Caenorhabditis elegans: one gene and its partner. The protein of the gene in region 1 purifies or fractionates together with the protein of each later gene. This does not show direct contact. Each region holds a gene or a part of one and is shown in the gene's direction. Other genes may lie near its edges. The genes, in order: clec-59 and ZK105.3.

What was found.
Region 2: the proteins of clec-59 (region 1) and ZK105.3 fractionate together in Caenorhabditis elegans (co-fractionation; one large-scale study listed by BioGRID). This does not show direct contact.

Annotation. Positions count from the first base shown.
Region 1 is NC_003280.10:10,477,292-10,481,116, reverse strand, and holds clec-59 (VWFA domain-containing protein), read left to right. Parts: upstream 1-1,668; coding exon 1,669-1,708; intron 1,709-1,755; coding exon 1,756-1,874; intron 1,875-1,922; coding exon 1,923-2,036; intron 2,037-2,081; coding exon 2,082-2,281; intron 2,282-2,328; coding exon 2,329-2,525; intron 2,526-2,574; coding exon 2,575-3,095; 3' UTR 3,096-3,113; downstream 3,114-3,825. Other genes in the region: clec-60 (VWFA domain-containing protein), read left to right, coding at 1-147, 195-397, 445-965; ZK666.4 (Pepsin-I3 domain-containing protein), read right to left, coding at 3,424-3,825.
Region 2 is NC_003283.11:7,695,434-7,701,574, forward strand, and holds ZK105.3 (Glycosyltransferase), read left to right. Parts: upstream 1-1,708; coding exon 1,709-1,900; intron 1,901-1,943; coding exon 1,944-2,058; intron 2,059-2,107; coding exon 2,108-2,229; intron 2,230-2,316; coding exon 2,317-2,402; intron 2,403-2,449; coding exon 2,450-2,528; intron 2,529-2,703; coding exon 2,704-2,810; intron 2,811-2,855; coding exon 2,856-3,020; intron 3,021-3,063; coding exon 3,064-3,384; intron 3,385-3,583; coding exon 3,584-3,725; intron 3,726-3,785; coding exon 3,786-3,861; intron 3,862-3,902; coding exon 3,903-3,985; intron 3,986-4,057; coding exon 4,058-4,430; intron 4,431-4,483; coding exon 4,484-4,655; intron 4,656-4,857; coding exon 4,858-4,977; intron 4,978-5,024; coding exon 5,025-5,156; intron 5,157-5,203; coding exon 5,204-5,327; 3' UTR 5,328-5,381; downstream 5,382-6,141. Other genes in the region: srsx-40 (G_PROTEIN_RECEP_F1_2 domain-containing protein), read right to left, coding at 5,615-5,823, 5,923-6,059, 6,105-6,141.

The DNA of each region.
Region 1 (3,825 bases):
CCGTGCTCTTTCGTCAGTCAGCACTTCCGAAGAGTCATATCTAGCAAATGGGCTTGCAAGAGCAGAAGATGTACTTGAAGCCGGCAAACAAGGGTACAACCGTACTCATTATCAGAGAGTTGTGATTGTCTATGCATCAGCTTACAAGTATGTTCTTTAGACAGTTTGTGCAACCATTTATTGCTTGTCTTTAGGGGATCCGGAGCCTTGGACCCAGTGCCAGTTGCTGAAAGACTGAAAACTTCTGGAGTGACTGTTATTACTGTGGCATATGATCAAGACGGAGACGGTGCTCTTCTTGCAGATCTGGCAAAGATTGCATCTCCACCATACAACTTCACGAATACCGAAGACAACGGGCAAGTTATTGGAGAGATTCAGGATGCTTTGCTGCAAGGTTTGTTAAAGGAACTTATATTATATAGCAATACAAACTATTTTCAGTGAACTGTTTCTGCCGAAACTCGTGGATTCAATACCGTGTATCTTACACTGATGTTCACTCCTACCGCTACGGTGTCTGCATTCTTCCAGTCGGTTTCAATGCGGTATGGCGCGCTGCCAAATCTTCATGCATGAACCGAAATGCATATCTTGTCACTGAATTCGATTCGAACAAACACGATTATGTCCTGACTGCAGTGAGCAATTACACAGGATTCAGTGTACCTCTAACTTATCACAACGGACTCAGTATGGTCAAAGGTGTCTGGGTATGGGATCAACCACAAGGAATGCCTCAACCACAGCTTCAAAGTTATGCAGGATGGAATCCAGGATATCCCATTTCGGACTCTACTCTCACAGGAGTTCTGAATCAACAATCAAGTGTGCAACTGCAGTCTGGATGGCAGAATATCAAGCCACTGACGACTGGAGCCAATTATGTTTGTGAAACGGCATCTTGCGATACTGATAATTACTGCACCGAAGCTGGACTTGCTGAAATTTCCGTAAAACACTAATATACACGATACATACTTGTTGTTGTATAATAATAAATTCTGATTCTACAGACCGTATTTATTTTATTAGTACTGCTTCTCCCTCTTTGTAATAAAAATTTGGAATCCAGGTGTTTCAAACCAACGAATAAGCGGACTTTTGGTGACTGGATGGCAGAATATTAAACCATTCAATGCAGATGTTTGTGAGACTGCGTCTTGTGATACTGATAATTCAACTCTTAGTTTGTGAAGTTAAATTTCTAACAATCTAGCAAAAACTGAAATAAATTTATTCGGCTTTTCTCAATAAATAATTAACTTTCTTTTTTCTCTTTTCGTTTGCTACAACTTAAAAAATTTTTAGCAACACTGTTCACCAATAATTTTGAAGGAAAAATTACGTTAACCAATTGTTTCACAACAAATGAAATCTCCCGTACTTTTTCAATTAGTACGGCATTTCAAAACATTGCAACTACTTTTCAAAAATAGTAGTACGAAAATAAGTTACCAGTGGTGTTATCAGTTAAATAATTCCTCAATACAACAAAGTTTCATCCGTTGGTTTTTTTTGAAAACAAGAGACAGTAATAAGGTGTGTCTGGGATACTTCAATTCAAACATACACTCTGCATCTTGTGTATTATCATTTTAATGAAACTTCCATGTGTATAAAAGAGAGAATGAATTGAGAAAAATAATCATTCATTTGTTTGCAAAAATGAGTAAAAACATTTGTTTGCTCTTCTTCTTGTTTCATGGTAAGTCTTATTTCAATCAATTACCTGCCAAAATTAGTAACTTTTAGCATACCTTTCTTCGTCCTATACGGATCGCATATGTGGACAAGATTTGAGTAATTTATGGTTGGATGTTGTAGCTGTTGTGGATAACTCTGCTGGAATGACCAAGGGAGGATTGACAAGTGTACGGTAATTCTAATCAAATTATTCTATTGAAAAGAGCATATTTCAGGTCGCTGCAAATATTGCTTCCATATTCAGTAAAAATACACAGATTGGCACTAATCCGACAAGTCCAAAGACTACAAGACTAGCACTAGTGACATACAATGTTGATGCCACAACTGTAAGCGTTTCCCTAAACTGTTGTTCCTCATTAGTATTGTTCCAGGCGGCGGATCTAAACAAGTTCCAATCAATTGATGATATCTATAGTGGAATTAACTCTGCTTTGGCAACAATAAGCTCTTCTGAAGAATCATATCTTGCCAGAGGGCTTTCACAAGCCGAGAAGGTTTTTCAAGCGGGAAAGCATGGATTTAACCGTGCTCATTATCAGAAGGTTGTGATTGTATATGCATCTACATACAAGTGAGTTGCATTTTTTGGAATCCCAACTAAAAACCAAAAAATTTCAGAGGAAGTGGAGACTTGAATCCAGTTCCAGTTGCTCAACGCTTGAAAACCTCTGGAGTTACAATTATCACCGTGGCATATGATCAAAATAAAGACGGAGACATTCTTGTTGATCTCGAGAAAATTGCAACTCCTTATCACAATCTCTCGAATGAAAATTTGAATGTTATCGGAGAAATTCAAGGATTTTTACTTCAAGGTATCTCAAACTGAGTTGATTTTATAAAGAAATAACACGTATTGTTCAGCAAATTGCTTCTGTCCAACTTCTTGGATTCAATACCGTGCTTTGCATGATGACGTGGATTCTTACCGTTACGGAATCTGCATTCTTCCAGTTGGATTGACTGCCGTCTGGCGTGCTGCTCAATTATCATGCCGTAATAGATGGAGAAATTCATATCTTCTCAATGAATATGACAACAGGAAACACAATTTTGTTATATCATCTGTCAAAAACTTCTCTGGTTTCCATTTTCCATTAAGCTATCACATCGGACTGAACAAGGTCAATGGAATGTGGCAGTGGGATCAGCCACAAGATTGGACACAACCACAACTTCAGAACTATGAAATCTGGAATTCAGGATATCCAATATCTGATTCCTCGTTGACAACTGTTTTGAATCGACAGACAACTGTTGATTTGGAAATTGGATGGCAAAACGTTCATCAATTCGCAGCTGCCTCCAACTATGTATGTGAAACTGCTGCTTGTGACACTAATAACTACTGTTCCTCTGGAGGTGATTCCATTTCAAACCATTAGTTTTATATGTAATTTATTATTATTAATGTTGATTTTCTTCATACTATGTACAATTGTTGTCAAACAAATAAATTCAATTCTTTGATTGCTTTTAATTTAATGAATAAAATTGTGAGACAAACTTTAACGATCTTTCAGTTATACTGATTAATTTATTGATTAGGAATTAGAAAGGACAACAATAAAAAACACGGGAAATTTTGCTTTAAGCGGAAAATTACAAAATATTGAACAAGATAAAAGGTAAGAAAAAATAAATAAATGACCGGCAAATGAAAAGTACAGAAAACAAATTGGCACTTGGAGAGTTGTAAGAGTTAATGAGAAATTATTGAAACTTAGAAGTATGAGTAGACTTCTTCTTGATTTCCTTGGCGAGCTTTGGGTTGTAGAATGGATTGGCAACGAGTTTCATAGTTGTCTTGGAAGCAACATATTCTGGATCAAAGAATGGGTTTGGAATGAGATGGGCTGGAGCAGGAGATGTTGAAGCTGATTGTCCAGTTGAAGTGTCTCCACTGCAGAATCCGGAGTCCATTCCAGTGTCACTGAAGCAGGCATCATCGGAGAATTGTTCCTGATTGGCCAAGTTCTCGTAGTAACGGTACTCTTCTTGTCTCTCCATCATGAAAACAGCCATTTTTCGAGCATGCTCATCAAGGCAAGATTTCTGATGAGTACTGAGACGCTTATTACGGGGGAAGAATTGGAAGATGGAAGCATTGTTGTA
Region 2 (6,141 bases), on another chromosome or scaffold:
CACATCCACATTGCTCTGAGAACTACATCATGCAACCAAGAACAAGGACGTCAATCCATTAAACACGTGAACCACTACCGCATGCACAAAAGGATGACGGACGCGAGCAGCCACGTGGTGACCTTTCCACGTCTACACCGACGACCACAAGACACGTGTACAACACCGCCCAACAGGAGATGCTCATCGAATCAGTCTTAACTTTTTACTCGCTTCATGTTCTTACTTTATGTTCTTGCGTTACTTGTCTATTAGTGTTACTAGTTGTCTATAATAAATCCTTGTAGAGTCACCAAGTGTACTGTTAGTTTAACTTATATAAAATACCACTGAACGCACTGCAAAACACTGCAGGCTTTCTGGAAAATGTTTTACCGCTTTTATACCGCTTGTAAATAACTTTGTTTTAAAAAATGAATATTTCAAAAATTTACTGTTAACCAAATAGTCTTGATTTGCATGATTTGCATGCAAATTTACTGTTAACCAAATAGTCTTGATTTGCATAAACTGATTTTTATCAATGTGGAATCTATAATAATGGTTCATATCTTTTCATTAACATCCTAGATTTACTGAACGATTTTTATAGTTGTGTTTCATTCAACGAGTTAACTAAATAAACATTTATAGTGTCTTGATAACTTTCCTCCAGAAAAGTGATAATGAAATTCTACGGAGAAAGTACACTTTTTGATCGACAACAAATTGCATTCTGAAAAATTATTTCCTACAAAATGTATGTACCACGAATGTTGCAGAAAAATCTTATCCTTTTACTTTAATTAATATTTTAATTGAATTAAACTATTTACTATTAGGGCTTTTGATGCCTGACTCATGACTGTTTTGGCCAATTGTTTGCATTTTGATGTCAACTCTTCTCAGACAAACGCTTAGTCGTCTAATTAGATTTCAACCAAATATAATGGGGACATAATTCATATTTGTTTAGAAATTCATGTTTGATTATATTTGCTCCATATTTTATTATAAAATCCATGTTACATTAGATTTGTTCCATATTAGATTAGAAATCCATATTTGATTAGATTTGTTCCGTATTGGATTAGATTTAAACCAATTTCATTAGATTTGTTTTATATTGGATTGGATTTCAACCATATTTGATTAGAAAATCCATATTGGATTAGAATAGGAAGCCTATTAATTATGTCCCCATTTGGTTGAAATCTAATTTTTGGTTGAAATCTAATTAGAGGACTAAGCGTTTATCTGAGTTGTGTTAAGTGTTTGCACATTGTAAAGGGTTATCTCTTTATTTTTTCTAACTTTGAAAGAAGAAATGGTTGAAATTCACTTCTATGAGACCAATATGACCAAATATCGTAGAAAAACATTTCAACCTTTTTTGAAAACTTATTATTATGGTCTCATTATGTTTTAAATATTAATATTCAAGCACATTAAATTTCTCAGGGAAATTTAATATTAGAATGGTATCCATCATATTGAGTTATAGGGGTCTCAAAGCAGCTGGGTTCAAAAGCAGCTAGCTGGTCATATAAAGAGACCACCACGTTGTAACTTCCATGAACATTTTGTATGTTCTTAAAAACGCCAAGTCGATCGCCGGACATCTGAACTTGTCTATTGTGACAAATGTCTCATCTCACTCTATCTTTTGTTTCTTTTATATAGATTCTAAAACAAGTATCAAGTGTTTATTCCACGAAAGTAATTTCAGATGAATTGGTCGATAAAGGCGTTGCTGTTTATTTCCTGCGCAACGACATTTTGCTATGTTGCACTAATGGGAAAAGCGGATCTATCTGCAAATGTAAAAAGAACAGAACTAATATCACCAGTTGTTGAAATAAAGAATGGAAATAAATGGATTGTTGTCACAAGTGTCAGTGCTCCAACTGAAGATGTTAAAGTAAACCGGTTCAGTGGTTTCAAATAACTGATACCATTTTCAGAGACTATCTTCATTTCCAGACTGGAACTTAGTTGTAGTAGCAGATACTAAAACTCCATTGGATTGGAAATTGGAAAATGTGCATTTCTTATCAGTCGAATATCAGAAGCAGTTGCGTGAGTTAAACATTGAATTCAATTTTTAATGCCAAATTTATATTTACAGCATTCTCCATATCTGCATTGCTCCCCTATAAATCATACACTCGAAAAAATATAGGCTATTTGTATGCAATTTCTCACGGAGCTGAATGGATTTATGACACGGATGATGACAATAAACCATATGTTAAGTTTACATTTTTTCAAGAATTTTTGTCCCATGAAATATCTGCTAATGATGGCATGTAAGATCTATGGGAACATTTGATTTCAGGTCAAGGATTAAAGCAATTCGACTTTGATGACACAATATCGGGAGTTCGGTATCGGCCTCAAATGAGAAGTGAGGAAAGAATATTGTAAGAAATTTCAAATATTGTGATTGCCTTTCATAACAGTTTTCTAGAAAACGACTTTTCAATCCTTACCGATTTTATGGAATGGATCAAATGTGGCCAAGAGGGTTTCCATTGGAACATATTGAGGTGGGAAAAAGTTAAGAGACAAAGGAAGACTTATGTATTCCTGTACGAACCTTCGCATTATTAATTCCACAGCGTGTTTTTTTATTTGTTTTTTAATATTGCAAAAAAACCAAATGACTTGTTTTCTTGAAAGCAATTATTTCCAAAAAAGTGAAAAAATTTCAAAAACGTTTAGAAACACACGAATGGGAACGATTCACAAGTATTGTGTTATCAAATGAAACGAGCAGCTGTGCAACAAGGTTTAGTGCGCCATGATCCGGACGTGGACGCAATTTATAGGTATGGAAAACTTTCAGTTATAAAGAAAATGTATAGAAATTTCAGACTGCTTCACGCTGACACTAAATCTGGTTTAAACTTGAAATTCAATAAGTTTGCTCCTCCCATAACTTTGTCCGTTGGCACATATTCTCCATGGAACTCACAGAATACATTGTTCCACAAATCAGCATTTCATACTTTGTTCCTCCCGACTACGGTGTCATTCAGGTTTACTATAAAATATTTTCATGGTTGACTTTTGATATTCCAGAACCACTGACATTTGGAGATCTTTTGTTTCTCAGAAAATCTTGCATTTATCCGGATTAACAGTGTCATTCGTACCAACAAACGCGGTACAATTCAGGAATGCGCATGACTATTTGAAAGATTTCAAGGACGAGAAACAAGTTTATGAAGATTCTGGAAAAATGATAGAATATCTTCATGACTGGAAATGTGCCCCTGAAAACTCTAGCGATTTGGAGAGATGTGTGAAACAGTTGGCTAATGATCTAGTTGAAGTGAAACTGTGGGGTAAAGAGGATGCTATGTTGACGGAAATGTTTTTGAACGATTTGAAGAGAGTGGGGTGAGTTGAAAAGAAAATGGAAGATTCTAGAAACGTAAAACAAATTTTCAACTAAAAGTTACATATCTGATAGTGAGTTTTATTATAAAAGTGAGTTTTAATATAAGAGGTGATTTGTAAAAGAAAAGAAACAATTATACATTTTTCACAAAAAATGGTAAAAGCGGTATTTTCAAATATACTCTTCTACTATTTATAGATTTGAATTCCCCCGCATACTTGATGGAAATTACGAGGATCCTTATACTCCATCGAAAAACGAAACCTCTAGAGATGTGAATTGCAGGAGAATGCAGCTAGACTTTGAATTAAAAGAAACAAAGAAAACTGACCTAGATGAGGTGGGAAAATTAACTCTCAAAAATGTATGAAACATGTGATATTTTATCTATTCATTCCAGAATGTTCAACGGGCTACTCGGAAAATAAATTATTTCGGAGATATCGTTTACTGGTGTAACGAAACTGATTATTCTAGTAAGTGTTCAATGTATGATTTTCTAATTCAGTATTCTCAGACTTAACGAATCAGTTCCCTTCTCCAGAGCAGCTTTCCAGGAAGCACGAAAACTCGTATGTTCTCAAAAAGAACTTAAACACGGTATGTTTGTCATTGTTAACCCGTTTTAGTTTTAAAAACAAACAACATAAATTTTTTTAACACAATTTTCAGGTCCTAATAGTTGTCAACAATTACCCATGGAAATATGGAATGGGTTTATTTCAAAGACTCTACGAACCATATTTTGCATCGACAATTTTCTGCGGTTCCTGGTATCCGGAAAATTTTACAAACGTTGATAACTTTACATCAACTATTTTTCCAATCAACTACGTTCATGTTAACCCTGCTGAAATCCACAAAGGATATTTTGCATATCATTGTGTCACTTTGGTTAAAGAAATGCGACTTAGCAATGTGGAAGGATATTTCATGATGGCAGACGATGCAATATTCAATATCTGGCAAAGAATTGATTACTCGAGAGTTTTCCATTTGAATGGAATCTACAACATTTCAAACGTTTGGTGGAGCGGAGATTATGGTGATTTGAAAATATTGGAACTTTCTTTTAGGTTTCTCCTTGTATTGTTGCAGGAAAAAAAGCAGCTATCAACATTTTGAAAACTATCAAAATCACTAACAATACAAAATTTCAAGATGCATGGAACAAATTTGACAAAGGATTGCAAAATTACGCTTTCTTCAACTTGACAGATAACGCAGAAACACAAATGCTGAATCCGATTGGAAAAAGTATCTCAGATTTGTGAGTTATGATTGCATCTTACTTTTCGGTAGGGTAAAGTTACACATGATTTTTGTGCACATTAGAAAAAACAAGTGACACATTGTTCACATCAGGGATGTGCGGCAAATCTCAAAATGCCAATTCGGCAAATTCGACAAATTCGGCAAACTTGCCGCACGCCCCTGGTTAACATATATCACAGTAATAATTCAAATTTCAGTTACTATATTCCCACATTACAAAGCGAGTACTATGCCAGTCTTATGCGGTTATTCTATGAAAACCAATTCTTCTTGGAAATCGCAGTGAATAGGTTTTTGCGATCCGTGGATCATTCAACGTAAATCAATTGTAAGCTGATTGTATTTATATGCAATTAAAGTTCAGATCTCTCTATGCTCGAACCAGTTATCTTTGGACAAACCGTGAGAAATGGGATACAGTTTATCACAAGAATATGGTTGCAATGCATCCTGTCAAAATTAGTAAATTCATGAAACCTGGTGCAGCTAGAAAGCGGTGAATTTTTTTTTCAGAATTTAGCAATAAAGTTCGAATTCTTGTAGATATTGCGCTTCAATACTTCAAATTTGGTCGGATATTATTTTCGGTGGATCTCGTAATTACACGGATAAAAGTGACGAAGAAATAGATTATATCAACGGGTTTCCTGTTAGACAGTTATATTAGTTATATTATTAGACAGTTATAGTTTCTTGAATTGAATTATGAATTGATCATTTTTTCTTAAATCGTTTATTGAAAGCATATGCAATTAAAAAAAAAGTGCACGTCAGACTTTTGTCAATTTTAGTTAAACTTTGTTCGCCTGAATAGTTGTCTGCTTATGAAAATGTACTTGTTGCAATTACTGGTCCAACTTGTTGACTTGATGCAAAAAATCTTGAAAACGCTTTTCGAAAGTCTCGTCTGTAGTTTTACAAATTAAAAAATCAACTCCTTGTAATCAAAAAAACTTACACAGTATAGCAAAATAAAGGGAGGGTGAAGCTTTGAGTTGAAAAGCTGATAATTCCAGCTGTTAGCTTTACAATTTGAATGCTTTCCAACGTGCTTTTGAAGTAAATGTTACCCATGAACATCACTGAATACGACAGAAACGCACCAAAGTAGTACATTACAGTGATTTTGATTAATGCTTGCACAATTGAAATGTTTGTGGAATCTTTAAAAAATCACATTACAAGTATTTCTGTTTGCCCGAAGAGTTTTTGCGCATTAAACAGTCCTATACTATTCCTATACTACAATCCTATAAACTCACCGTATTCCATAGCCTTCATCCGATAATTCACGAAATATTGCAGTGGGAATAAGATAATTGCAAATGAGAACGTTGAAACTTTGTACAAGTAGTACGCGTCGCCAAAACAGTTTGAAAGAACACAAATGTTTGAAGAGCTGGAAAACTATTTTTCAGTTTTAAGATTACAGCGCAAGTTCTACTTTTCAGTATCTTGTTGTAGGATAGCAAAGCCAAGAA